Linked DNA regions of Macaca mulatta. The protein of the gene in region 1 interacts with the protein of each later gene in a pairwise test. Links are inferred from orthologs where the notes say so. Each region holds a gene or a part of one and is shown on either strand. Other genes may lie near its edges.

Region 1 (8,315 bases):
GGCTTTTGAAATGGGGTAATTTAAGAGTATTCTGAAAGGTACAATGTTACACATGTGTACACAGTCCATAGAGAAAGTGATTTTTCTCTCTATGGGACTGTTGTTTCAACTGTTGTCACAGCTGATAGAAATATGCCATTTAGCCCTTATTCCAGAACCAAGTCCTACTTGACATTGTTAATACTCTTGTTTGTATCCATAGGTTCTGGCAACTAGATTACATCTTTCTTGGATACTAGACCTCCATCTTTTTCTTTTGATGGGGGTGGGGGGTGTTTTAATATGCTGTATCCAAACAGGGGTGGGTGAGACACCCCTGGTCTATGTTTATTATGAATGTTTGCTCATATGATCCCCAACAACACCACATAGTAGAAATATTATTATCCCCATTTACAGATCAAGTGACTGAGGCCCAAAGTCCCATAGTAGCAGGGTTTTCTGTCTCCTGAGCCCACCCTCGTGACACCTGGGTGACGTGGCTGGCACAAACTGGAAATGTCTTGATTGGTTGCAGACACACAACAGGTTCACTGATAGTGCTCTCATTTTTAATCTATAGCCATTAAATCGTTCATTCATTCCACATGTATTGACTGCCTGCTGTGTGCCAGGTGCTATCCTAAGTGCTGAGGATTAGGCTTGAAGAAGGGTGGAAAAGGTGGGTCACAAACAAACCTACGACAGAATGTCCAGTGGTGACACATGCTAGGAAGAAAACTGAAGCACAGTAAGGAAAGAAAGGGTGGCAAGAGATGCAGGGCTGGCCCGAGGGACTCTTCCGCATTCCATGAGTCCTCCCAGGAAGAATTGGAAGGACAAGGGGGGTTTGGTCCTCAAGCATGAAGTGATTTGGGGATGTTACTAGTTTTCTGTGCTGCTGCAGCAAATTACTACAAACTGAGGGGTTTAAAACAATGGAAGCGGCCGGGTGCGATGGCTCATGCCTGTGATCCCAATACTTTAGGAGGCCGAGGTCGGTGGATCACCTGAGGTCAGGAGTTCAAGACCAGCCTGGCCAACATGGTGAAACCCCATCTCTACTAAAAATACAAAAATTAGCTGGGCATGGTGGCAGGTACCTGCAATCCCAGCTACTCGGGAGGCTGAGGCAGGAGAATCACTTGAACCCAGGAGGCAGAGGTTGCAGCGAGCCGAGATCATGCTATTGCACTCCAGCCTGGGTGACAGAGTGAGACTCTGTCTCAAAAAAACAAACAAAACAAAACAAAACAATGGAAGCATATTCTCTCCCGGTTCTAGAGACCAGAAGTCTGAAATTGGTATCAGTGGGCTTGATCCAGGGGTGGGTATCAGGGATCAAGGTGTCACCAGGGCCACACTCTTTCCAGAGGCTCCAAGGGTAAATCTGTTCCTTGCCTCTTCCAACTTGGGGGGCTGCCAGTGCTCCTTGATTTGTGACCTCCTTGCTCCGATCTCTGCCTTTTTGATCACATTGCCTCTTCCTCTTCCTCTTCTGTCTATAATCAAATGTCCCTGCACCTCCTTCTCATAAGCATTTATTTAATTGTATTTAGAGTCCACAGATAAACTAGGCAGATTATACCATCTCAAAATCCTACACTTCATCACATCTGCAAATACCTTTAATTTGCGGACTCAGGTGACATATGAGGTATTATTTACAGGTTCCAGGAATTAGGATGTGGATATTTGGAGGCCATTTTTCAGCCTACCATAGGGAGTTATTTGTGGATTTTATTTTTTTAATGTAAATCTAGTCCCTTTTAACTGACCAAGCCATCTATACTTCTTAAAAAGCACCAATCATGTTCACTGTGGGCAAAAGCTTATGGAGCAGCATCCCTGGAAATTCATCCATGATTGAAAGAAGGAAAGAGGGACAACAGGGGAGACAGAGACACAGCCAGCAATGAATGATCTCTCTTTCTGGTGCCTGTGTTTCATGGAGACAGGGGACTGGGGATGCAGATTCTGTTTTGGCTTGTCTTTTTAAAGGCTGTAGGCCCGGCACAGTGGCTCATGCCTGTAATCCCAAACCTTTGGGAGGCCAAGACAGCCAGATCACTTGAGATCAGGAATTTGAGACCAACATGGCCAACATGGCAAAACCCTGTCTCTACTAAAAATACAAAGATTAGCCAGGCGTGGTGGCACCCACCTGTAAACCCAGCTACTTGGGAGGCCGAGGCAGGAGAATCGCCTGAACCTGGGAGGCGGAGGTTGCAGCGAGCCGAGATTGCGCCACTGCACTCCAGCTTAGGCGACAGAGTGAGACTGTGTCTCAAAAAAATAATAACAATAAAAGCTGTAGACTTTAGAAATGAGAAGTAACTTAGAGATGCTTCCATACTCACTTTTAGGATATTCTGAGGAAGGAAGAGGCGAACATGGTCAGTCTTATATGAAGAGAAGATTTTGTTCCAAAGGAAATGATCGGGAAAAGCCCAGCTTGGGGAGGGGCCAGGGAACAGTGGGCAGGTGGGAAATGAATTCCACCTTCTGCCGGGAAGCCTAAGGGGGCATATCTTTGAGCTAAAAAGAACAGGTCCACGAATCAGAGTTGAGATGTTGAGATTGACCCAGCGGCGGGAAAAGCAACACAGGATAAATTTAGTGTGGTTGAAGCTTGTGCAATGATTCAGGCTGTCACGCTCCTCAGTGTCTGAATCATGGGACACAATAGATCCGCCAGCTTATTCCAGCATCCTTTAACCCTTGAGGAGCAAATGCCCTGGCAAGGAGCCCGCTCAGAATCTCCTCCCGCTCCTGCTGCTGCTGCACAGTGGGCTGTGCCCTGGTGAGGTTCCTGTGTCCTCTGTAGAAGGTAACAGATTAGGAAATGGCAGAAGTCCCTTCTCTGTCTAGCATCCTTCCACCTTCTCATCTGTAAAATGGGGATGAAACACAGAACCCCAGGGTTGGGAGAAAGGTCTGACACAGAGGCAAGTGTCAGTGAACGTCTGAGAACGCTGAAGCAGTGATGGAAATGGGGTGTTCCTGGTTACCAGCGCCCTCTCTGACCCATGTGGTAGTTACCCTTTTGCCAAAGTGTGTGACTATTAATACACTTTGAGTCTCTAGGAAAAAAAAAAAAAAAGCAAACTTAATTCCTACTAAGAGATCACTCACTGTCTTCTCTACCTTTTACGCTTTCTTTTCCAGGTGGTAACAGAAAACAATCCAGATGGGGTGCAGGTGCTGTAAAATAATACAAAGGTAAAGCTGGAGAAATACTACTTCTAAATGGAGGAATTTGTGATGAGCGTGGAGTCACTTTTAAAGACCATGCATGTATTCAGAGCATTTATCCAGCTTGGGGCATGATCGACATTGCCAGCACATTAAGAGTTTGGAACTGTTATCATATCATTGAAAAGAACATGTGCCCTAGATTTTCTTAACTTTTTTTGCTCACTTCTCAAAGCATGTTGGGAACACCATCATTTTCTGAGGCTGAATTTGGTCTGGGTTTCTGAGGATGCCTGAAATGGCATCGCTGAAAATAAATCACCCCAATCACATATGTGCTTTTAATTTTGTCCACACTGCATTTCATAAAACTGTGAGTAACATGAACATAAACTTCTAACTAAGATAAAGGGAAGAAAAGTAACTGATGATCTTGCTTTCTTAACAAATATACTGTCTTTTTAATTGTAGCTCTATTCTAGACCCATACATAAATAAGCTTTATTCCACTGTAATCATAATGTGATGTTTGGCTTTATTCAAAAAATATGTATTGTAAGTATCATTCCTGTGACTGCAGACTTCATATTTATCATTTTAATGACTGCATAATATTCCACTGAGAGGGTATACTCCTTATGGCCCTATTAGTGGACACTTGTTTTATTTATTGTTTTTTGTTTTAAAATTCTATGAACCACTTTGTATTTTACTTTACCCCCTAACCCTCCTTCCTCCTTTTGGCTCTCTTCTTAAGATGTATTTCCGGCAGAACCTTGTTTTTGTTTTTCAAGACTGTCCTGCTCTGTCATCCAGGCTGGAATGCAGGGGCGTGATCTCAGCTCACTGCAGCCTCTGCCTCCCAGGTTCAAGCGATTCTCCTACCTCAGCCTCCCGAGTAGCTGGGATTACAGGTGCCCACCACCACACCCAGCTAACTTTTGTACTTTTAGTAAAGATGGGGTTTCACCATGTCAGTCGGGCTGGTCTCGAACTCCTGACCTCAAGTGATCCACCCGCCTTGGCCACCCAAATTGCTGAGATTACAGGTGTGAGCCACCGAACATTTTTATACCAACTATATCTATTTGATTTAGACACACTTATCTAGGTTGAAAAGAGTAATGACAGAAATTAAATTAGCAGGTTTCGTAGAAAGAAGCAGGGCCTGTGGTAAAAATCTTTAATGATGGAGCAGACCTGACTGGTTTTTCGTTGTCCTCCCTGCAGCTATCTCTTTGATCCAGTTCAAGTGTCCTCTCCTGGCTATGTCAATGAAGTCAACAGCTGCAAGCTAGATGAAGACGACACTGATAAATTAAAAGGCAAATGGAACAGTGAAGTCCTGGTGCAGAAAAATGACTCTCAGAGGCAGGGCTCAAAAAAGACTGAGAGCAGCAGCAGGACAGCTAACCCACGGGAGCCCTGCTGGCCTCACCAAGGGCCGCTCCCGCAGGGGGATGTTGGAGGGGAACACCATGCCTGCGGCATCAATGGCATCGGCCCTGCTGCCGCTCCACAGCCCGCTGGGAATCCCAGCCCTGCCCAGGATGACAGGGGCTCCTGGACCAGTACTGAAAATACTGGAGTTCCCCCAACTCAACCCTTCCTGGAAGGAGGGGACACCAGGAAACAGGACTGTGTGCTGCTGGCCTCAGAAGGAACCCAAGTCATGAGAAATGGAGACTCCAGAGCTCCTTCTGAGGCAGAAAGTTTTGCCTTAGAAGTACAAGACCGTGTCTTCCAGATACCAGCCCCAGATTACCTTCAGCATTGGGGTCCAGCCGGAGACAACATTGACCATAATGAAAAGGACCGTGTTTTCAAGAACCATACTGAGGATGAGTCCCTTGAGGGAATTCAGCCCACAGTGGGGGAGCGTGGTTTGAATACGCCCTTCTCTGGGAGGAGAAGCTGGGATTCATTGAATGAGGATGTGGAAACAGAAGTTCTAAGCATCTGCTTTAATGAGAAGGGTCCTGCTCATGCCATGCCTGTGGTTGACTCAGGAAACAGGCAGGAGGATGCCCATGGCTCCAATGGAGACGGAGATGGGGAGATTGTGGACGAGGATGCAGCGGTGGCGGAGGCCCTTGCGGCTTTAGAAGCTGCTACTGCAGGAGAAGATTTGGATGAGGCTGATTAGGGGAGGGGATTTGCACAGGGAGGTAAGCTGGTGTCGTGCTGAGCATGCAGATGCATTTGCTCCCTGGATGCAGAGCAGGTGATTCTCCCAGCATGCACCAGTGCAGCCTGACCAGTTGTTTACATCCAGCATCTGTTCTGATTGTCAGCATCTGTCCCATGCTGCTTGTCATATATCTGGAGTTTCACTCTGTGTCGATGAGCTGTCATTCAGGACACTAGGAGAAAAATCTGAGTGGGTCATTGTGCCCATATCCACAGAAAGTGCAGAAATTGAACAGCTTGCTTGACAACCCTCAAACATCTTTGAGCACCTGGTACAGATGTTTATGAGAATACTCTAAGATCTCAACCCTTGATCCCAAAGGCACACAATCACAGAGGATTCCTTTTGACTGTAAACTGTTTACCTTGCTTTTGAGAGCCAAACATTGTACCCAACCTGGAAAAAGTAACTACCCCAATTAAAGTGCCTCATGTGTCCCCAGAGCATGGCTTAACTTCAGGGACAATTCACCCAGGGAACTAAGAACTAACCAGTTGTTCAACAGCGGGTTAAGCTCAGCAGTTTTCACAGTAGAGCAGAAGTCCTCAGGAAACAAAAGGTTAGTCATTAGCTGAGATGTGATTTTAAAACACCTTGACCTTAACTTTTTTGCATTATTACTTTTGAATCTCCTTTGGGACTGGGGAGGCTGGCCAAAATAGTCTTAAAACTGCTTGTGTCATATTTGGGTTTTAAGTTCATGACTTTCAGAACAGCAAAGCCATATATGCAATGTTTTTATGCCATTAAATGTCTGACTCTAATTAAAATATAACAACGTATGTGTCTTTCTGTCTTAACTCAAAGGTGGTTCTAATTTTCTCAGAATATCAGTGACCCTAGATATTACTTTCAATGTAAAGAGCTAATCTAGATGGCCGGGCGCGGTGGCTCACGCCTATAATCCCAGCACTTTGGGAGGCCGAGGCGGGTGGATCATGAGGTCAGGAGTTCGAGACCAGCCTGGCCAACATAGTGAAACCGCGTCTCTACTAAAAAATACAAAAAACCAGCCGCGCGAGGTGGCGGGCGCCTGTAATCCCAGCTACTTGGGAGGCTGAGGCAAGGAGAATTGCTTGAACCCAGGAGGTGGAGGTTGCAGTGAGCCAAGATCGCGCCACTGCACTCCAGCCTGGGCGGCAGTACGAGATCCCATCTCAAAAAAAAAAAAAGAGCTAAGCTAAGCACAGTGGCTCATGTCTGTAATCTCAGCACTTTGGAAGACTGACGTGAGAGGACTGCCAAGGCCAGGAATTCAAGACCAACCTAGGTAATTTAGCGAGACCCCATCTCTATGGAAAAAAAAAAAGAGCTAGACTACAAAATTATACTCAAAAAAGGGACCAAGTTGGTTTGCAGAGCCATGACTTTGGCTTTCTCTCTCTCAAGTTAAACTTGATGCCATAACTAAGTGTCCTGATCTTATCACAAAGATGAATTAAGCCCTCTCTGGATTTCAGCCTTCTAATTCATTGAAACAAGGTTAACCATTCTAACATAACTCAATGGAGAATTTAAAGGCATTAAGCATGCTCAAAACTATTTAGAAAAAAAAATAAACATGGAAGATGCTTTAGTTTGGTGTTTTGTAACACAGAATTGAAATTGAACTTCGTTTGATTTCCAGCTTTGCCATGCGACTTTGGGCAAGTTATGTATCCCTTCTCTTTACCCATCTGTGAAGTGAGAATAATAAGAGTATGTGCTTGTAAAGATTAAATGAAATGATGTGTTTAGCCCAGTGCCTGGGACACTAGGCACTCAAAAATGATGTCTTACCGGTTGAAAACAATTCCTTTAAAAAACATTTTTACATCCTCACAACTGAAAACTCTAATACTGGGAGGTGTATATATGTCATTATTTGATTTTGATAATTATTTAGTATAAAACATGATTTCTGAGCCTTCCAGCACCTTTAAGGATGGCACCCTTACAAATGCTTAATGAACATATGTTACCCTGGGTTTGTTTGGTATTGTAATGACAAGCCATCGCAAGTGACCTCTATATACAGGGTCACTCAGAGTCCTTCAAAAGATAAACTCTTGGCATTGTTAATTGCATTAGAGGTATGTCTCCTTTTGTATTTAGTACACCAAATACTTAATATTTCAGAATGCTTATTCCTTCAGTGACTTCCTAAGTGTATCAGTTGGGATTATGTTCGGTTGTATGGGATGAGTGTTTTATACAAATAGAGGTTTATTTACCTCCTATGTAAGAGAAGTCTGGAGTTAGTGATCCAGGGTGGCAGATACAGGGTATCACGGACCCGTGTATCAGTGACCCACGTATCAATGGCCCACGTGTCAATGACCGGCGTATGAATGACCCATGCTTCTTCAGTCATTTTGGTTTCCTTCTCAACGTCACTTTGTAGTCCAAAATGACTGCTGTGGCTTCAGTCATTACATTTACATTCCACGTTGGAAAAGAATAGGTCAAAAACCCCACTCCCACTCTATTAAGGACCTCACAGAAGTATAATTCATCCCTTCCACATATACTCCCTTTGGTCAAAACCTGGTCACTTGGCCACATCTAGCTGCAAAAGAGACTAGGAAAGTTGTCTTTCTAGTGGTGTGCATGGCTTTGCGAAATAAACTCAGAATGCAGTGACTGAGAGGGGGAAATGGACAGTGCGTTTCAAGGCAGTCGGTTTACAGTCTCTGCCACAGGAGGCCTCAAAACCCAAACACCTGGGATACAGCTGGTCTCAAAAGATTAGAAGATTGTGTGTACATTCAGTGTGGTACCAAAGGGGCCTCCACCTTTGGTCCAGGGGAAGGAGGACTGGACAGCTACTGCTGCTCCAACTTCCCATTGATATCTCCAAACCTGACGAAAGAAGAAATTCAGACAAGGAACGGGTAGGGTAAGGTATTAGGGCAGACAAGTCTCTTTCTCTTACCCAGACACACACTTTTGCATTTACATATATATATAA
Region 2 (8,315 bases), on another chromosome or scaffold:
ACCTAGAGGCATAGATTGTCTCTCTGATATGAGAGCATATTTACTCATTTTGTCAATCAGAGGCATTTGGTAAATTCAAGCTTTTAAAATAAGAATTAGCTTAACCAGGTTTTTAGCCAGGAGGTACTAAGACTACTCCTTCCAAACTATGTACTGAGGTACCTGGTGGCCCATAGCAAATTCAGAGGGGTGCCACGAAGTATTTTAAAATTTTGAAGGTGTGCGGTGGTATTCAACATCTGTTTGACATTGTATGGACTCCTAGCTTGAGATAGTTTGCAGTTCAGCATATTGGATTGTCCTACCCTGCTTTCCTTGGTGTTTGATCGTTGAGAAGCTGGAGTTTTTTTGGCCTGTGCTGTGATCTAACAGAAGTACCAGAAAAAAAATACATCTGCAAGAGGAAATGAGAGTGGCAAGGTCCGATCTAAGACCAGTGTTTGAGAAATTGTGAAGTGCCCAGTAGGCATACACATCCCAGTAATAAGTGATGGTAGTTATTTAAGAACGAAGTAAAAAGTTTTTTTTCAATTCATGTGTATTATTTTTTTAAAGGCCAAGTAGTTAGGACATTATACTTATTAAGTTGTTTGGAGCTAAGTATTTAATAAACAGCACTGTGAGGTATATCTTTTGGCACTAAGGCTGCTGAAAACTGAGAAAGTTAGGGACATCTGCGAGAGTTTGGTAATGATCTAGCTTTAGCATTTTGGGGTTCCAGAGCAACTTGGTATTGAAAACTTTATTCTCAGACTTTCAGCATTTAAACCTTTCAGTACTTCATTATAACTTAATCAGAAATAATGCTTTTCTTTTTTCGTTCTACAAGCACATAGAGAATGGTCCTCCTCTCCCCAAGGTAATTCATTATATAGGTAGATTTATTGCTAGATAAGATAAAATATTGTTACCGAATGCTACATTAGATGTAATTTTGTGGCAGTTCACCACATTAATGCTATAACAACACATCTTAAGCCATATTTGGACATCTTGTAAAGGAAACTCCTTTTTAAAAAAAAAAACATAGTTTTTGTTTGTTTGGTTTTTTTTTGTTTTTTTTTTAAGACCAGGTCATTTTTGTATCACAGGCTGGAGTGCAGTGGCATGATCATAGCTCGCTGGAGCCACGAACCCGTGGGCTCAACCTCCCAAGTAGCTGGGACCACAGCCACACCCCACCATGCCTGGCTAAAAAATAGATTCTTTTTGAAATATACGTGGAAGGAAAAGTCATCATAGGCTATAAAAGAAACAGGGTTCAGTCAGACACAGTTTATTGTTATTAATCATTTATCAAAATCAAAATGATTTTCCTGAATAGTATTTGACAGCATTTAAAATGATCCCAGGATTGAGATTGAGATAAATGCTTGTATTGTCTTTTCTCATTTCATCCCACGACCCTTCAGTTTTTGATACTTGAGATCTAATGAGAAGCAAGATGTTATAATGGAAAGAGCAGTAGGAAGAGAAGAAAACTGTATCTGCAGTGATAATCAGTGGAATTGAAGAGGCAGAGGTTAAGTGTGCTTGACACATAAGGAAACAAAAAGATTGTCTTCTGATTAAGATCGTAAATTGTGTTTCTATTTTGTTGTTTAATATTAGGGCAAAAAGGAAATTCATCAGCATAATGATTAAAATTGGCAGGCTTCCTAAAGGAAACAAACATCAAATGTGATTACAGAATTTACTGGGAAAAACTGAAATCTGAAAATTAACTCTGGCTTTGGTAAACTGAGAACTCTATGCAGAGTCTTGAAATGGCTACAAAATTTTAGTGTCCTGGGGAGTCTAAGTCTAAGTAACATAGAACCAATGCAAACTCAATGAAACAAGCTCAAAAGGTAGTAAAAGTTTAATGATGTTCTAGAAACCAGTGAAGGAAATATTCTTGCTACAAAAATAAACTAGGAAATGAAAATCATTGTGTGGGAAAATAGTTAAGATATTATTATATAGGTTCAGTAAAACCTTTGAAGTAAATCCTTTTTTATTTTTCCTGGCATTCTCTTAATATAAATGAAAAGAATATGCAAAATGCTAGTCAGATGGGTTATTGCTTGATCCTTGAATTGCAATATTAGTGCATTAGGCCAAGACGGGCGGACCACGAGGTCAGGAGATCAAGACCATCCTGGCTAACACGGTGAAACCCCATCTCTACTAAAAAATACAAAAAATTAGCCGGGCGAGGTGGCGGGCGCCTGTAGTCCCAGCTACTCGGGTGGCTGAGGCGGGAGAATGGTGTAAACCCGGGAGGCGGAGCTTGCAGTGAGCTGAGATCCGGCCACTGCACTGCAGCCTGGGCGACAGAGCGAGACTCCGTCTCAAAAAAAAAAAAAGCTTAAAAAATTCTCAAGATATTTCAAGTAATGAGAATAGTAATTGATAGATTACTAAAACATATCTAATCCATATATCTTTATTAATTCAATTGCAAGAGAGTGTAAAGAAGGTATAGAAAACACTAAGTTCTTTCTATTCAAATGGAAAATGGAACCTTAGTCATAATAAAGAGTTGGGTGCACAAGCTCTAACAAAGCCTTAGTGAATGCCATCATGACACCTGCTTTACAAAGATTTCTGCCCTTAAAACTTATCAGTGTAAGACGTTCCCAAAAGATTCTAAACAGTTAAACTTTGGCTTTAAAATGTTGATTCCTTATCTGTATTTCAAAACTAGTTTTCTCTTTATTATAGGCTGAAAAGGAAAATCCAGGTCTCACACAAGACATCATTATGAAAATTTTAGAGAAAAAAAGTGTAGAAGTTAACTTCACGGAATCCCTTCTTCGTATGGCAGCTGATGATGTAGAAGGTATCAGAAAGAAGAACCTTGCTTAAATTATACAATTGTTGAATAGCACTTCCTCTAAATCATTATTATTTGACTAAAGGAACTTCCTTCCCTACTGTTCCCCCCCCCCCACCCCCCGCCTGCCTTTACTTACGATGATGCTGGTGGTGGTGGTGGTGGTGGTAATAGTAGAAGTAGGAGTAGAAGCTAATCTAGATAAAATAGAAAAATTGTTTTTCTTGCTTTTTATATTTGTGAGATTTAATTACTTGAACTTTGTTTATACCTCATTCTTTAATTTTTCCCCCTTTATGTTTGATGAGTTTCAGTTTTACTAAAAACCTTTTAGTAAAGCTATTTGGAATGTGTTGACTTTAAGCAAACAATAGTTTGGAAGTAATGAGGTTTTTGTTTGCTTGTTTTTTTAACTTTAGTACAGCATCTTTTTTTAAGCACAGATTTAAGGGAACAATATAACCATGCTTTTCTTATTTTTTTACTTCAAATTATTTAGACATTGGTTTTACTTTAGTAGAAGTTCTCCCACTAATTTAGAAAAACGTGGACACACGATTTCCCATAATTATTAAGGGAGAACAAAAAGCAGATATTTTAACTGATTCCATGATTATAAAAAAGCCCTTATCATTATTTAGAGTTGAGCATTTGCAGCCCATTAGGCCATTATATATTGATGAATTGGTAGATTTGTAATGCTTCCAAGTCTGCAATGAATCTGGTAAAGTCTGATTGAACCTCCTTTCCAAAACTGCTGTTCTGTGATCCCAGCCCGTGTGTTGGATTTGTGCTAATGTTTTTGTTTTTAAGTGAGATTTCAAGAATATGTAGAAGATTTTATTAGATTATTTGGGGTTTTAATATAATGAAGCAATGTATATTTAATATAGGGGTTTAGAATTTTTAATCTTTCTAATTGGAAAGTAGATATTACCTTTGCGCTAGTTATGACACTCATTATTTAATTTAAGGTTTCCTTGGGAAATGTAAAGCCTGCCTTTTCAATCTGTTTTTTTGTTTGTTTGTTTGCTTTTTTTTTTTTGTAAGATTTCATGGGATTTCCTTTTATCCCAAATTGAAAATATTTGTATTTTCTTTTTCTGATACTTTACTTGAAGGGAGCCCTGCTGTTATTACTGGACTAAGTCGAATGTTAATGAATTCTACTTTGCAACCTTGTCTTTCCTATTTATCTGGCCTTTCACCTCCCCCACCTGCCTTTGACCAACATTGGGAATTCTTAGAAGTGAATTTGGCAGAGTCGCAGGATGTTTTTTATTATGTATTTATTTTTTCAGAGTATATGATTGAGCGACCAGAGCCAGAATTCCAAGACCTAAACGAAAAGGCACGAGCACTTAAACAAATTCTCAGTAAGATCCCAGATGAGATCAATGACAGAGTGAGGTTTCTGCAGACAATCAAGTAAGCAATTTTTTGTTTTGTTTCTTTTCTTAAAAGTACTTCCGAGGAACTATTCATCTACATTTTTTAATTTTGGTATGACATTAACTTGAAATGCTAATTTGAAATAAAATCTCGAATTGTTAAATACTGCATTTTATTAACTTTATGGCATTTGGTTTCAGAGTACAACATTTTTTAGAGTGTTTAATTTTAAAACAATAATGAAATGTGCGTAAACTGGAATGTAGTTTGAACTACATAAATGATGGGAAAATATAAATGTCAGATAAATGGAGAAACTGGATATATCCTAGAGATTGGTAGTAAGAGATACCAAAATTGTTTTTATTTCAGAAATGGCAGCAGTCATTAACGTAAGTAATGTACTCTTAGGCATGAGTAGCATTTTCTAAGACTGACCAAGTAGCCTCTAAATCCTTGCCTTTGGGGGATATAGGTTAAATAAGACCAAGAATATGCAGGGGCCAGGAGGCTGGCTGGTGAGCAGCAGGCAGAAGGGTCATCCTAGAGAAGTAGTTCTCAGACCCGGGACACCCTCCTGGAGTACAGTGAGGAGTGAGAGGGTAGGGGATTGGGTGAAAACATAATCCCTACATAAGTATCTTTAAACTAGAGAGTATGATAATTTTCTTCAGCCTCAGTGAATAGAAAACAAAGCTGGAAATACTTGCAGTGTCACTATCAGTGCATGGTTTTGGTGAAACCATAGGTGGATATTACTGGGAAGGAGATTTAGCACAGGTCTTTTTCTGGAAGAGGCTCTGACATATTTGGTAACTTTGAAGAACCTAAGGAGACTCAATTGGAATAAATAGTAACATTCATCTTTTGGAGATTGGGCAGTGGGAGGAGTGGCAGTAGCCAGGCAGCCCAGCTTCATGAAGGCCCTCAGTATGCCTTGGCCCACATGCATCCGATATGTGCCTTCCCCACTTCCAGGATGCCCAAGAGGACTGTCAGCTCAGCTGACAGGACAGTGAAGGAAAAGCCCAGAAGGAGATGGATATGGTTGTCAGCTAAACCTGCTCTTTCAGTAGTGGAAATGAATCCCCAAAGGGTAGCAGGATAGGATAAATCTTCAGGTAAAAAAGCGCAAACAAAAGAAAAGAATAGCAAAGTGAAAACAGGCCAAAGTGGCTAACCAAGAATATTTACCTGCGGAAAACAGAAAAACTAAAACTGAAGAGAGTCCAGCCTCTGAAGCAGGAGAGAAAGAAGCCCAGTCTGATTAATATCGCATACCATGTCTTATCAGTGGTTCCCCGTCTCTCTTCTTACATAATCCAGAGGAATATTTTTATCAACTATGTTGTAAATGCAAGTTTTTTAGTAACTCTAGAAACATTTAAGGAGTAAATTCCACCTCATCCCATTTTTTCGGTGTAAATGCTTTTTTTTTTTAAGAGGTGAAATAATGTAATTTGTGGTTATTTTTTGGTACAATGAGAAAATAATGTTGGATATTGAATTATGGGAAGCCTTGATTGTTATGGGTGTCAGCTTAACATTCCATAAATGGGTGGTTAGTTTTTATATCCCATAATACAAAGCATACTAAATGGCAAAGTGGAGTTGCAGTGCTGCGTTTAATGTCTTGAACATTTTTAATTACTCACTCTGTCACCCAGGCTGAACTGCAGTGGCGTGATCATAACCTACTGCACCCTCAACCTCCTGGGCTCAAGCAATCCTTCCACCTCAGCCTCCTGAGTAGCTAGGACTACTAGTGTACACCACCACACTAGGCTAATTTTTTTTTTTTTTTTTTTTTTTGATATTTAATAGATACCACGTCTCCCTACATTTCCCTAGCTGGTCTCTAGCTTCAAAGCTCAAGTGATCCTCCTGCCTTGGCCTCCTAAAGTGTTGGGATTACAGGAGAGAGCCACCACACCTGACCTTAAATTACTTCTTCCTGTTGTTTTTTAGTGGAATTATTTCCTTGGGCAAACCACTCCTTGAGCCTGGCTCTCCCTTTCAGAATTGTGTGCACTCTGTAACATCTTTGGTCATGGTAGTCCTGTTTTTCTAATAATTTTGTTAATGTGCTGTGAAAGATTAAAGTATATAGTGTATATGCTATTAAATTGTGAATTGGTGGGATGTATGTGACAGCTTATCAACATTTGAAGGTACTGGTACTTGATAGCCTCTGAAGGAAATTTTGCCTCAGTTGTAAGCTGGAAAGTCACTGGAATAACTTTAAAGAATAATAAGGATACGTGGCTTTTTAGATTTTGCAGTACGTATGTTCAGAATTGTGTACAAGTTGAAATGTCTGTGTACTGATCCTCAACACAACAGATAAAATCTCAATTATGAAAGAAAAAGAAAACATTCATCTTTTGAAAATAGTATTCTTTGTCGTTCACATTGAGAAATGCTATTTTAGCTTGTTTGGATACCTAGCTAGTTTGGATACTATCTTTTGAGTCACATAAAGAGAGGAATATGTCCCCTAGAAAATAATGGTGTGTGATAGGTATGCCACCCAGCTATCAAGGAATGACCCTACTCTTTGACAATAATTAAGTACCAGGAATGTGAAAAAGGCTTTTAATTGAATAGCCAAAATCTGTGTCACAAGGGACAAACCCTAAGGATTTTTTTATTTGTTTGTTGGGTTTTTGTTTTTGTTTTTTCGAGACCGAGTCTTGCTGTGTCGCCCAGGCTGGAGTGCAGTGGTGCTATCTTGGCTCACTGCAAGCTCCACCTGCTAGGTTCACACCATTCTCCTACTTCAGCCTCCCAAGTAGCTGGGACTACAGGTGCCCGCCACCATGCTCGGCTAATATTTTGTATTTTTAGTAGAGACGGGGTTTCACCGTGTTAGCCAGGATGGTCTCAATCTCCTGACTTTGTGAGCCACCCACCTCGGCCTCCTAAAGTGCTGGGATTACAGGCATGAACCACCGCACCCAGCCTATGGGGTTTTTTTTGTATTCTACCTTTCCTATAGGAAAGCCCCAGCTTCCTTTTCTGCTTTTAATATGTGAAGGGGGAAGGTAATCCACTGTTTATGGAGTTTTATTTTTAATCTGGTACAAGTTGAGCATCCCTAATTTGAACATCAGAAATTCTAAATGCTCCAAAATCCGAAACTTTCTGAGCACCGTGACATGACACCATAAGTGGAAAATTCCACGTCTGACCTCATGTGATGGATGGATTGTAGGCAAAACACAATCAAAACTTTATTTTATGCACAACATATATGCATATATGGATGCACTTTATAAAACATAAATGAATTTCATGTTTATACTTGGGCCTCATCCCCAAGTCTAAAGACTTCTGGTCTCAAGCATTTCATTTAAGGGGTACTCGCTGTGTATAAAGTAAATATGTTTGGCCTGTAAAAGGATAAAGTCAATGATCCCAAACTTGATTGTTTAGACTATTTATTTCTAAAGTTTTCAAATAATTTGGTAAGTTTTCATTTGCATTGATAATCATGGACTTGTTGATGAGCCATGATACATTTCTATGAAGATTTGACATTTAAAATAATATTTGCAGCAGATTTTGCTTCACATCATCAAAGTACATTTATATAATCAATGTCATCTTAATAGCAATCACTTATATAGTACTTATTATATGCTAAGCACTATTTTAATCATTTTACATATATTTACTTATCACAACAACCCAGTAACAAGTGAGGAAATTGAAGCAGGCACAGAAAATTAGGTAAGGCCACAGACCTTACCTATTAAGTGGTAGAGCTGGATTTGAACCCAGGCAACCTAACGCCAAGTTCACTGCTGTTTCCCAATCATCGATTTACAATGTTGATCTAATTTGGAGATTGAAAAATAAAGTTTCTGCCATTTGAAAGAAATGTGATAAAGGATATTTTAACATAGGATGCCAGTACATGAGAGAGATAACGGTGTTGTGGTTGAAGCTGAGATAGAAGTGTAGGCCCAGAGCCCTCATCCTGTCACTTTGACATCCTCTTTCCCCCTACAGAGTCCCTGAGACATCTCTGCTAAACCGTGACTCTAGGGAGCTACCGTTTGAAAACCACATTATTAACAGCACATTTTAGTCATAAGGAAAT
Region 3 (8,315 bases), on another chromosome or scaffold:
AATAATAGCTGAAGGCAGAGGTAACTGGAAAAAGGTTACTACTAAGGCATAAAATATTTCATATACCCTTATGATTCCACAGTTGTTTAGAACAAGTTCAAGGAATATACATGCCATAAAGTATTAAATCAGGAATAATGGATTTACTCAACAATATTAAACACCTACAACGTGCCACTCACTGTGCTGTATAATATTATAATAATAAATCCATTACATGATATGATTCTGTTAATGCTAAAAATCATAAAATTGTTCCTACTTTTGGATTTCAAGGACAAGTTAAATCACCCTCCAAATTTTCAGGCCCTGAAACAAGGTTTCTGTTTTTCAGTGGTTTTCTTTACTTTTTTCTCTTTGGCTAATGACTGTTGAAAACTTAATGAACAAACGCAAATCTATATACACATTTTGAAGAACCAAGGGAATCTTACAAAAGACAAAAAAAAAAAAAAAATCAAGTACTTATACTTACCAACACTCTAAAAAAATAAAGATACTCTGCAGCTCCTGAGTAATTCCCACATTCGTACTGGAATTTTGCATATCTGTAGAGTGTATCTAAATATTCCTGCCTAAACTAAAAAGAAAAAAAAAAGATTAGGTTCTCTTTAATTCAGAGTTTTAAAACCCCATTGTAATTCGTAAGTCTTTGAGGTCAAAACTATGAATGTTTAATTCACCAACTTCTAATGTATATTTTAAAATCTATCTCTGATTATGGTATTTATTTTTGGTGGCAGCTTTTGGGCGACTTAAAGAACTGACCTCTGGAGTTTAAGAAGTAAATCAACGGGGGTTGTGCTGGGGGAGGTGGTTTCAGGATGAAACTGTTCCACCTCAGATTATCAGGGCATTAGTTGAATTCTCATATGGAGCGTGCAACCTAGATCCCTTGCTTGCGCAGTTCACAATAGGGTTCGTGCTCCTATGAAAATCTAATGCCTCCACTGATCTGACAGGACACAGAGCTCAGATGGTAATGCTTGCTCACCTTCTAATCACCTGCTCTGTGGCCCCCTGGTACTGGTCCATGACCTGGGGGGGTTGGGGACCCCTTAAATAATGAATTATATGCAAAGCCTCATGCTTTGAGTTAACACAAGGGAAATGAGATTGAGTGATGGTTAGGAAAGCTTCTAACATTTCTTTGTGAATCTGGGGACTTATAAAGACTTTGATAATTTCAAAGGCCATTGTGTTCCACAAGGCGGCCAAAGTATTACCTAATTCTATTGCTCAAAACATTTCTAATTCAAATTTCATTCTGTTTGCCTTACTTGTTAATCCATAAGAAAAGGCATCCTATGCCCTATAATATATAATACTTAGCTTGCTGTTGGCACTAATATAAAATGCCAACAACTACTGCCAGCTATTACAACTCTGGAATAAATAAAAGCTTTGAGAATTTCTGTTACCTAAAGGTGAGCTATAAGCACCTATTTTCCTATCAGCAACAATTTATAAAAACTGAAGTTTTAAAAATAGAACCAGATTTTATCATTAATAAATTAATCTGGAAATTATATTCTTAGGCCAAGCCATGAGCCTATCTGTACAAACCAGTCTTTAGTCAGCATTATTAAAACATAACAACTTTAAATTATTTTTAAAACACTTACACCATGCTTGTCCGCCAGGTAGTCAAAGAGCATCCTACCATCCCTAAATGATAATTAAAAAAAATTACAGTATTTTAAAGGCCACAGAAAACAATATAAGCATATCCAACTTCTAAATTATTACCTATGCAAAGTCACCTTAAATAAGTACGTAAACGTTATAAGACTTCCAGAATAAAATAAGCAGGACATTACATGTTTTGAATGTAAAGAATTAGTAAGTATACAAGGAGAGCTACAAACTTTAAAATTCACTTTCAGATGTCTTTAGTTCTAATTGAAAATTAGTGTTGTTTCACCACGACTAACGTAAGGCCTTTAGAAGTCTGTCAGGTAATAAAACCAGAAGATTCTGACTATTTCTAGTAAGGTCAGAAGTCTACTTAGTGGTAATCTATTAAGAATGGTTTTTGCTCTCTGTGGTCAGATTTCTAATAGATAATGCAGTCTAATTATAGAGACTGATATAAATGTACCATGTACAAACTACAAGAAACTAATCCTATATACAAATTTTGTCCCCTCTTCCAATCTGTTAATATTTTTCAAAAGGATGATTCTGACAAATTTACAAGATTAATAAATCATGCCTGGCTGGCCACAGTGGCTGATACCTGTAGTCCCAGCACTTTGGAAGGCTTTGGGAGGCTGAGGCAGGTGGATCACCTAAGGTCAGGAGTTTAAGACCAGCCTGGCCAACATGGTGAGACCCAATCTCTACTAAAAATACAAAAATTAGCCAGGCATGGTGGCGGGTGCCTGTAATCCCAGCTACTTGGGACGCTGAGGCAGGAGAATCGCTTGAACCTGAGAGCTGGAGGTTGCAGTGAACACAGATGGCGCCACCGCACTCCAGCCTGGGTGACAGAGTGAGACTGTCTCAAAAAAATTAATAAAAATAAAAAAATCATGTCTCATGTACATGACAGCTATGCTACATACCCTACATAATCATTAGGTATAACCAAGTGCCATATTTAATTTTTCTTAAATTAGCTTTGTGTTATCTTGAGATGCTGACAGACTGGTAAAAGACAAACTGATAATAAAGACATCAAGGGACAGGGGATATAAGGGTAGCTGCCCACCTTATGAGCATTTTCGTTGTTACTGTTTTTTGAGACGGAGTCTCACTCTGTCGCCCAGGGTGGAGTTCACTGGCACGATCTCGGCTCACTGCCACCTCCGCCTCCCGGGTTCATGCAATCCTCCTGCCTCAGCCTCCCAAGTAGCTGAGATTACAAGCATGCACCACCATGCCCAGCTAATTTTTGTATTTTTTTTTTGAGATGGAGTCTCGCTCTGTTGCCCAGGCTGGAGTGCAGTGGCGCGATCTCGGCTCACTGCAAGCTCCGCCTCCCGGGTTCACGCCATTCTCCTGCCTCAGCCTCCCGAGTAGCTGGGACTACAGGCGCCCACAACCGCGCCCGGCTAATTTTTTGTATTTTTAGTAGAGACGGGGTTTCACCGTGGTCTCGATCTCCTGACCTTGTGATCCGCCCGCCTCGGCCTCCCAAAGCGCTGGGATTACAGGCGTGAGCCACCGAGATGAAGTTTCACCATGCTGGCCAGGCTGGTCTCAAACTCCTGACCTCAAGGGATCTGCCCACCTTGGCCTCCCAAAGTGCTGGGATTACAGGTGTGAGCCACTGCACCTGACTGCATGTTCCAAAATGAAAACATTTTCTTATCCTTCTCACAGAAGAAATATGCTACAATGTATCTTAGGGAGCACAATTTTGCTTGAAGATTTAATGGGGTGAGATATGTCCCCATAAAAATATAGGTGTATTATAATACTGAGTATGAAATGTACATGAAATTCCAACACAGAAGAACTTCCACAAAAACTGAACACTTGCAGTGGATCACAGTGAATAACTTTGTATTGCACTACTTACACCACTCACGTATATAATCACTGTCCTCTGGCTGATTATTTCCGGGAAAGTGTTAAGTATGATACTATATGTTCAATGAAATTTAAAAAGGGGGAATTGCAAGAAAAAGGTTTTCACATTGAAAATAGGTAGTTTGTAAGTATAATAAGATTACAAGTTTTTAACACATGATCCTTTCATTTATCTCAAATTCAGTACCTATTAAGCTACAAGGATCCTCTTTTTCTAACTGGTGAACATATCTACATTCATCTTATTCATACTTTGATCCCATAACTCCCCAGTCTTTGAGTGACTGAACTACAACATCCTAAATTTTCTGTTGTAGTCTAACAACTGGATTATTTCAGGTGTCCCTTTGTAATCACCTACATGTGACCTGAAGATCTAAAACTACTTATTCTAAAAGCATACAAGTAGTTTAGTATAATATATAGTTCTGCCTATGCATGTAATGTGTGTGTATATATATATCTCTCTGTGTGCGTGTTTTCCTGCATATAGTCATCCCTTGGTATCCCCAGAGCATTAGTTCCAAGACCTCGCCTACCCTCTACTCACCAGCCCCCTCAAATACCAAAATCTGCAGGTGCTTAAGTCCCTTATGTAAAATAGCACAGTACCTGCATGTAAACTATACACATCCTCCCATATACTTTAAATCATTTCTAGATTACTTATACCTAACGCAACGTAAATATCATATAGTTGTTGTTATACTGTAGTTTTATTTGTATTTTTTATTGCAGTATTGTTATTTTTTAGGTTCTTCTCCTGAATATTTTCAATCTGCAGTTAGTTGAATCCACAGATGCAGAACAGAGAGTTGACTGTATTTATATGTAGTATATGTCATAGTATAGTATAGTATGCTATAGTATGGCACAGTAATTGTGTATTTGTTGCTTTTCTAAAAATATCTGGTAACATCTTCACAAATCACAAAGGAAAACTTAAGAGCCAATCTCTAAAAATTTGGTTTAAACACATAGAAATTAAAGGTATAACATGGCAAAATATCCAGCAATTCCTCAAGTGAATTCAATGGTAGCTAGGATTTATCTCAAATGATAATATTCAATTTTAGTAAGAGATTTTATTTTTAAATGTTTCTAATAACCCAAAGGACTTCTACCCGTGACATGTACTAAGTCAGAGTAAGGCAACATGCTTACGAAACAGTAAATCTACTTCCAGGTAAAGGGAAGTTAGGAATAAAATAATCTTATCAGCTCAAAACTACCCTCCTTGGGCGAGGCATGGAGCTTAGAAGGGTATGAAAGAATGTAGCCAGGAATAAAGTGAACTCAGGTTTCTCTTATAACGAGTTGTGCTCTAAAGCGCTAGGTATTGCACAGGCACAGGGTTTCTTTTTTATTTTTTCCTGAGATGGTATCTCACTACATCACCTACTTTGGAATGCAGTGATATGACACTGACTCATTGCAACCTCCACCTCCTGGGCTCAAGCCATCCTCTGACCTCAGCCTCCCAAGTAGCAAGTAGCTGAGACTACAAGCGTACGCCATCACGTCTGGCTAATTTTTTGTTGCTTTTATTTTTTTGGTAGATAGAGGGTTTCACCATGTTGCCCAGGCTGGTCTCGAACTCCTAGGCTCAAGCGATTCGCTTGCCTCTGCCTCCCCAAGTGCTGAGATTACAGGCGTGAGCCACCACACAGTGGCACAGCGTTTCTTAATGGACATTTTGAGTTAGGTAATTCTTTGTTGGGGAGTAGCGGGAGGGGTGCTGTCCTGTGCACTGTAGGATGCTTAACAGCATAACTGGTCTCTACTCACTAGGTGCCAATAGCACCCCCCAGTTATGACAGCCGAAAGTATCTCCAGACATTGCCAAATGTCCCCAGGAAGAGGGAAATAGGAGATGGAAATTCTGTAGCATAATCAGTACAGATAAGTACTAAAGAAGTTTTTTAAAAAAAAAAAAACAGTATTAATATTAATATTTATTAATTATACTGGCCCCTACAAAATAAGGATAAATGAACATTTAAAAATGAATAAAGCACTCATTTAAACCTATGAACTTTTACTGTGGGATACTGGATAAAGTTTGAATTAACATTTGTATTAATCCAGAAACGAGAATTTTTCGAATTCAAAATTAAGAAGAGTTTACCTGGTTGACTGCATTTGCCTCGTAGTTTCTGGATCTTCAAACATCTTCACAATTGGTTCTGTTTCTGCCTGAAGCTGTTTCAGTTGTGCAACCACTGTGGTTCTTTTCTCTCTCAAAGCTAATTAAAAATGCAAAAGAGTACTACAATGGGCATGTTAAAGTGTGCTACTCATCATGAGAATGTCTGGAAATTGTTCAGAGTATTTAAACCATACATACATTTACTCATCCCCAATATATTCATATGCCAGGGGCTACTCACTCAGAAGTGTCCCCCAATCCCTAATTTCTTTTTTCTAGTAATACAAAGCCACAAAAAGGAAAAGGGAATCCTCTTTCTACTCTTAAGGGTAACTGGAGAATATACAGCCTTGGGGTGACAGAGGTGAAAGAAAAAAAGGGTAGGACCCAATTATCTATCATTTAATTCTCCATTGCAGAAACTTCATTCCAAGGGTTTTTATATTTGTTCCCATTTAATTTTCTTAGGTGAATATTATCCAGGAGTTTTTGAACAAAAACTCTGAGGGGCTTACATATTACTATTACAGGCTATCCACTAGGTTGAATGGAATTTAAATCCATTAAATAATCTCTTTTAACTATAAATCCAGCTCTATAACCTCTCAAACCAAATTCTATTGTTCCTTTTACTATACGATGAAAAGGTGGAGAAAACTTGCACATAACCAACTCTGGTAACACCTTAATGTTTCATTAAGAAACTAAGAAATAGGCCGGGGGCAGTGGCGCCACGCCTGTAATCCCAGGAACTTGGGAGGCCAAGGCAGGCTGATCACGAGGTCAGGAGTTCGAGACCAGCCTGGCCAATATGCTGAAACCCCATCTCTACTAAAAATATAAAAATTAGCCAGGCATGGTGGCGCGTGCCTGTAGTCCCAGCTACACAGGAAGCTGAGGCAGAAGAATCACTTGAACCTGAGAAGTGGAGGCTGCAGTGAGCCAAGATCACGCCACTGCACTCCACCCTGCCTAAGAGTGAGAGACTCTGTCTCAAAAAAAAAAAAAGAAAAAAGAAACTAAGAAACAGTTTCCTTTTTGTTTATATATGACAAACTAAAGAAGAGCTACTGTTGTTGCAGGGAACTACAAGTCAAACAGGTGGATTATGTTTAATGTAATAATTTCTGCATTACATATTAGAAAGTATATTCTAGAGCAGTCTTTCTCAAACACAGGAGAAGATCTATGATCAAATTTTGAGAAATGCCAATTTAAACAGAGTATACTGTATTTCTCTACTGCCAGAATTCTTGGAATCTTTAAAAATGTAATGTGCATTGAAGAAATGACACAGAAGTATTTCCCAAACCTAGAGAACCACTTTTTTTTTTTTTTTTTAAGTAACGTTACCACAGAAAGCAAGGGTTTGGAAAACACTGTATCACAGTAGTTCCCCAACTTGAGTGCTAGGCCTCACTTAACAGTTTTGATTAAGTAGGTCTGGTGTGTGGTCAAAAACCTGCATTTCTAACAAGCTCTCCCAGGTGAACTGATGACGGTGGTCCTGGGGACCATATTTGGAGAACAATGTCTACACTAGATGCCTCAAAATTAAAATAAAATAAAAATCTCTAAGGCACACAATGCAGTAACTAAAAAAGGTAGCAACCCAAGAACTGCAACATTCTCAGAAAATTCTAAGGAATGTGAATCATAAGCACAACTTTGATGATACATACTATGAACTGAAGGTATCTGATGACCATATTTTAAAGTAGTTCCACATCTTTCACAGGGAAAAAACAATACACTTCAGAAGACATGAAACCTTTATATAACCTCTCACCCAAAGAACATTAACATTCAAATAATAATTAAGTCTTTTGGCTAAAGCTCTCTTATAAATCATAAAACTTTAATACACATATCCTCAAGTCACAAGACAAGCTTCAATTCTAATGACAAAACTTACCATGAGGAATATCATCAGAATAAAGGTTTTTGTATACATCCATAGCAAAGTCTACCATGTTGGTATCACTAAGAAGGTCCAATTTACCTTGTAATAATTCCTTTTCATTATATATCTGAAAAAGAAGATAACTTTCTAATGAATATATTTAAGTCCCCCAAATAAACTGATTAATACTAAGACTAATTTACCTGGAAATATATTTCAAGAAATACTTTATAAAATATGATAAACTATTAACTTCCCCCTCTTGTAATAATGGCAAGCAATATGGCAAGCAAACAACCTACAGACATAAAAGTATTTTACTTACCTAAAATTTTTAAAATGAAGAGAATTACTATAGACATTCCAACCTCCTTCTGATTTATATGATCTTATTTTTTATATGTCCCTACAAACCATCTCTTATCTTTTCTAGGCAAGGCTGTGGATAAACAAAATCCACACCATCTTTTCTGTAAAGCAGAAATAGCTGTCACCTCTCCATATCCAGGTAATCAGTAATAAACTCTAACATGCTTCTCCATCCACACTGCTGAAACAAAAACTGCACCGATTTTTTAGGTCAACCATATCAGACCAGGCTTTTGCTTTGCAAAGGGTCCAAAAAATATAATTTAACCTATAGTACAGGCAGCAAATAGATACATATACAAACTCACATCAACATGAAGTGTGCTGAGTAATATATAAAGATTCTACAAAATATTC

Evidence for each region.
Region 2: the proteins of C5H4orf19 (region 1) and PDCD10 interact in binary tests that used the Homo sapiens proteins (3 or more experiments, as listed by UniProt). The two-hybrid records come from large-scale screens. The link is inferred for Macaca mulatta from reciprocal best matches to the Homo sapiens genes PGCKA1 and PDCD10.
Region 3: the proteins of C5H4orf19 (region 1) and EIF3E interact in binary tests that used the Homo sapiens proteins (3 or more experiments, as listed by UniProt). The two-hybrid records come from large-scale screens. The link is inferred for Macaca mulatta from reciprocal best matches to the Homo sapiens genes PGCKA1 and EIF3E.

What each region holds. Positions count from the first base shown.
Region 1 is NC_133410.1:36,811,691-36,820,005, forward strand, and holds the end of C5H4orf19 (PDCD10 and GCKIII kinases-associated protein 1), read left to right. Parts: intron 1-3,147; 5' UTR 3,148-3,169; coding exon 3,170-3,201; intron 3,202-4,404; coding exon 4,405-5,320; 3' UTR 5,321-6,007; downstream 6,008-8,315. UniProt on the Homo sapiens protein: Acts as a tumor suppressor. Acts as a tumor suppressor for colorectal cancer cell proliferation by targeting KEAP1/USP17/ELK1/CDK6 axis.
Region 2 is NC_133407.1:79,301,151-79,309,465, reverse strand, and holds part of PDCD10 (programmed cell death protein 10), read left to right. Parts: intron 1-2,706; coding exon 2,707-2,824; intron 2,825-4,119; coding exon 4,120-4,246; intron 4,247-8,315. UniProt on the Homo sapiens protein: Promotes cell proliferation. Modulates apoptotic pathways. Increases mitogen-activated protein kinase activity and STK26 activity. Important for cell migration, and for normal structure and assembly of the Golgi complex.
Region 3 is NC_133413.1:118,487,096-118,495,410, forward strand, and holds part of EIF3E (eukaryotic translation initiation factor 3 subunit E), read right to left. Parts: intron 7,717-8,315; coding exon 7,602-7,716; intron 5,784-7,601; coding exon 5,666-5,783; intron 1,669-5,665; coding exon 1,626-1,668; intron 581-1,625; coding exon 476-580; intron 1-475. UniProt on the Homo sapiens protein: Component of the eukaryotic translation initiation factor 3 (eIF-3) complex, which is required for several steps in the initiation of protein synthesis.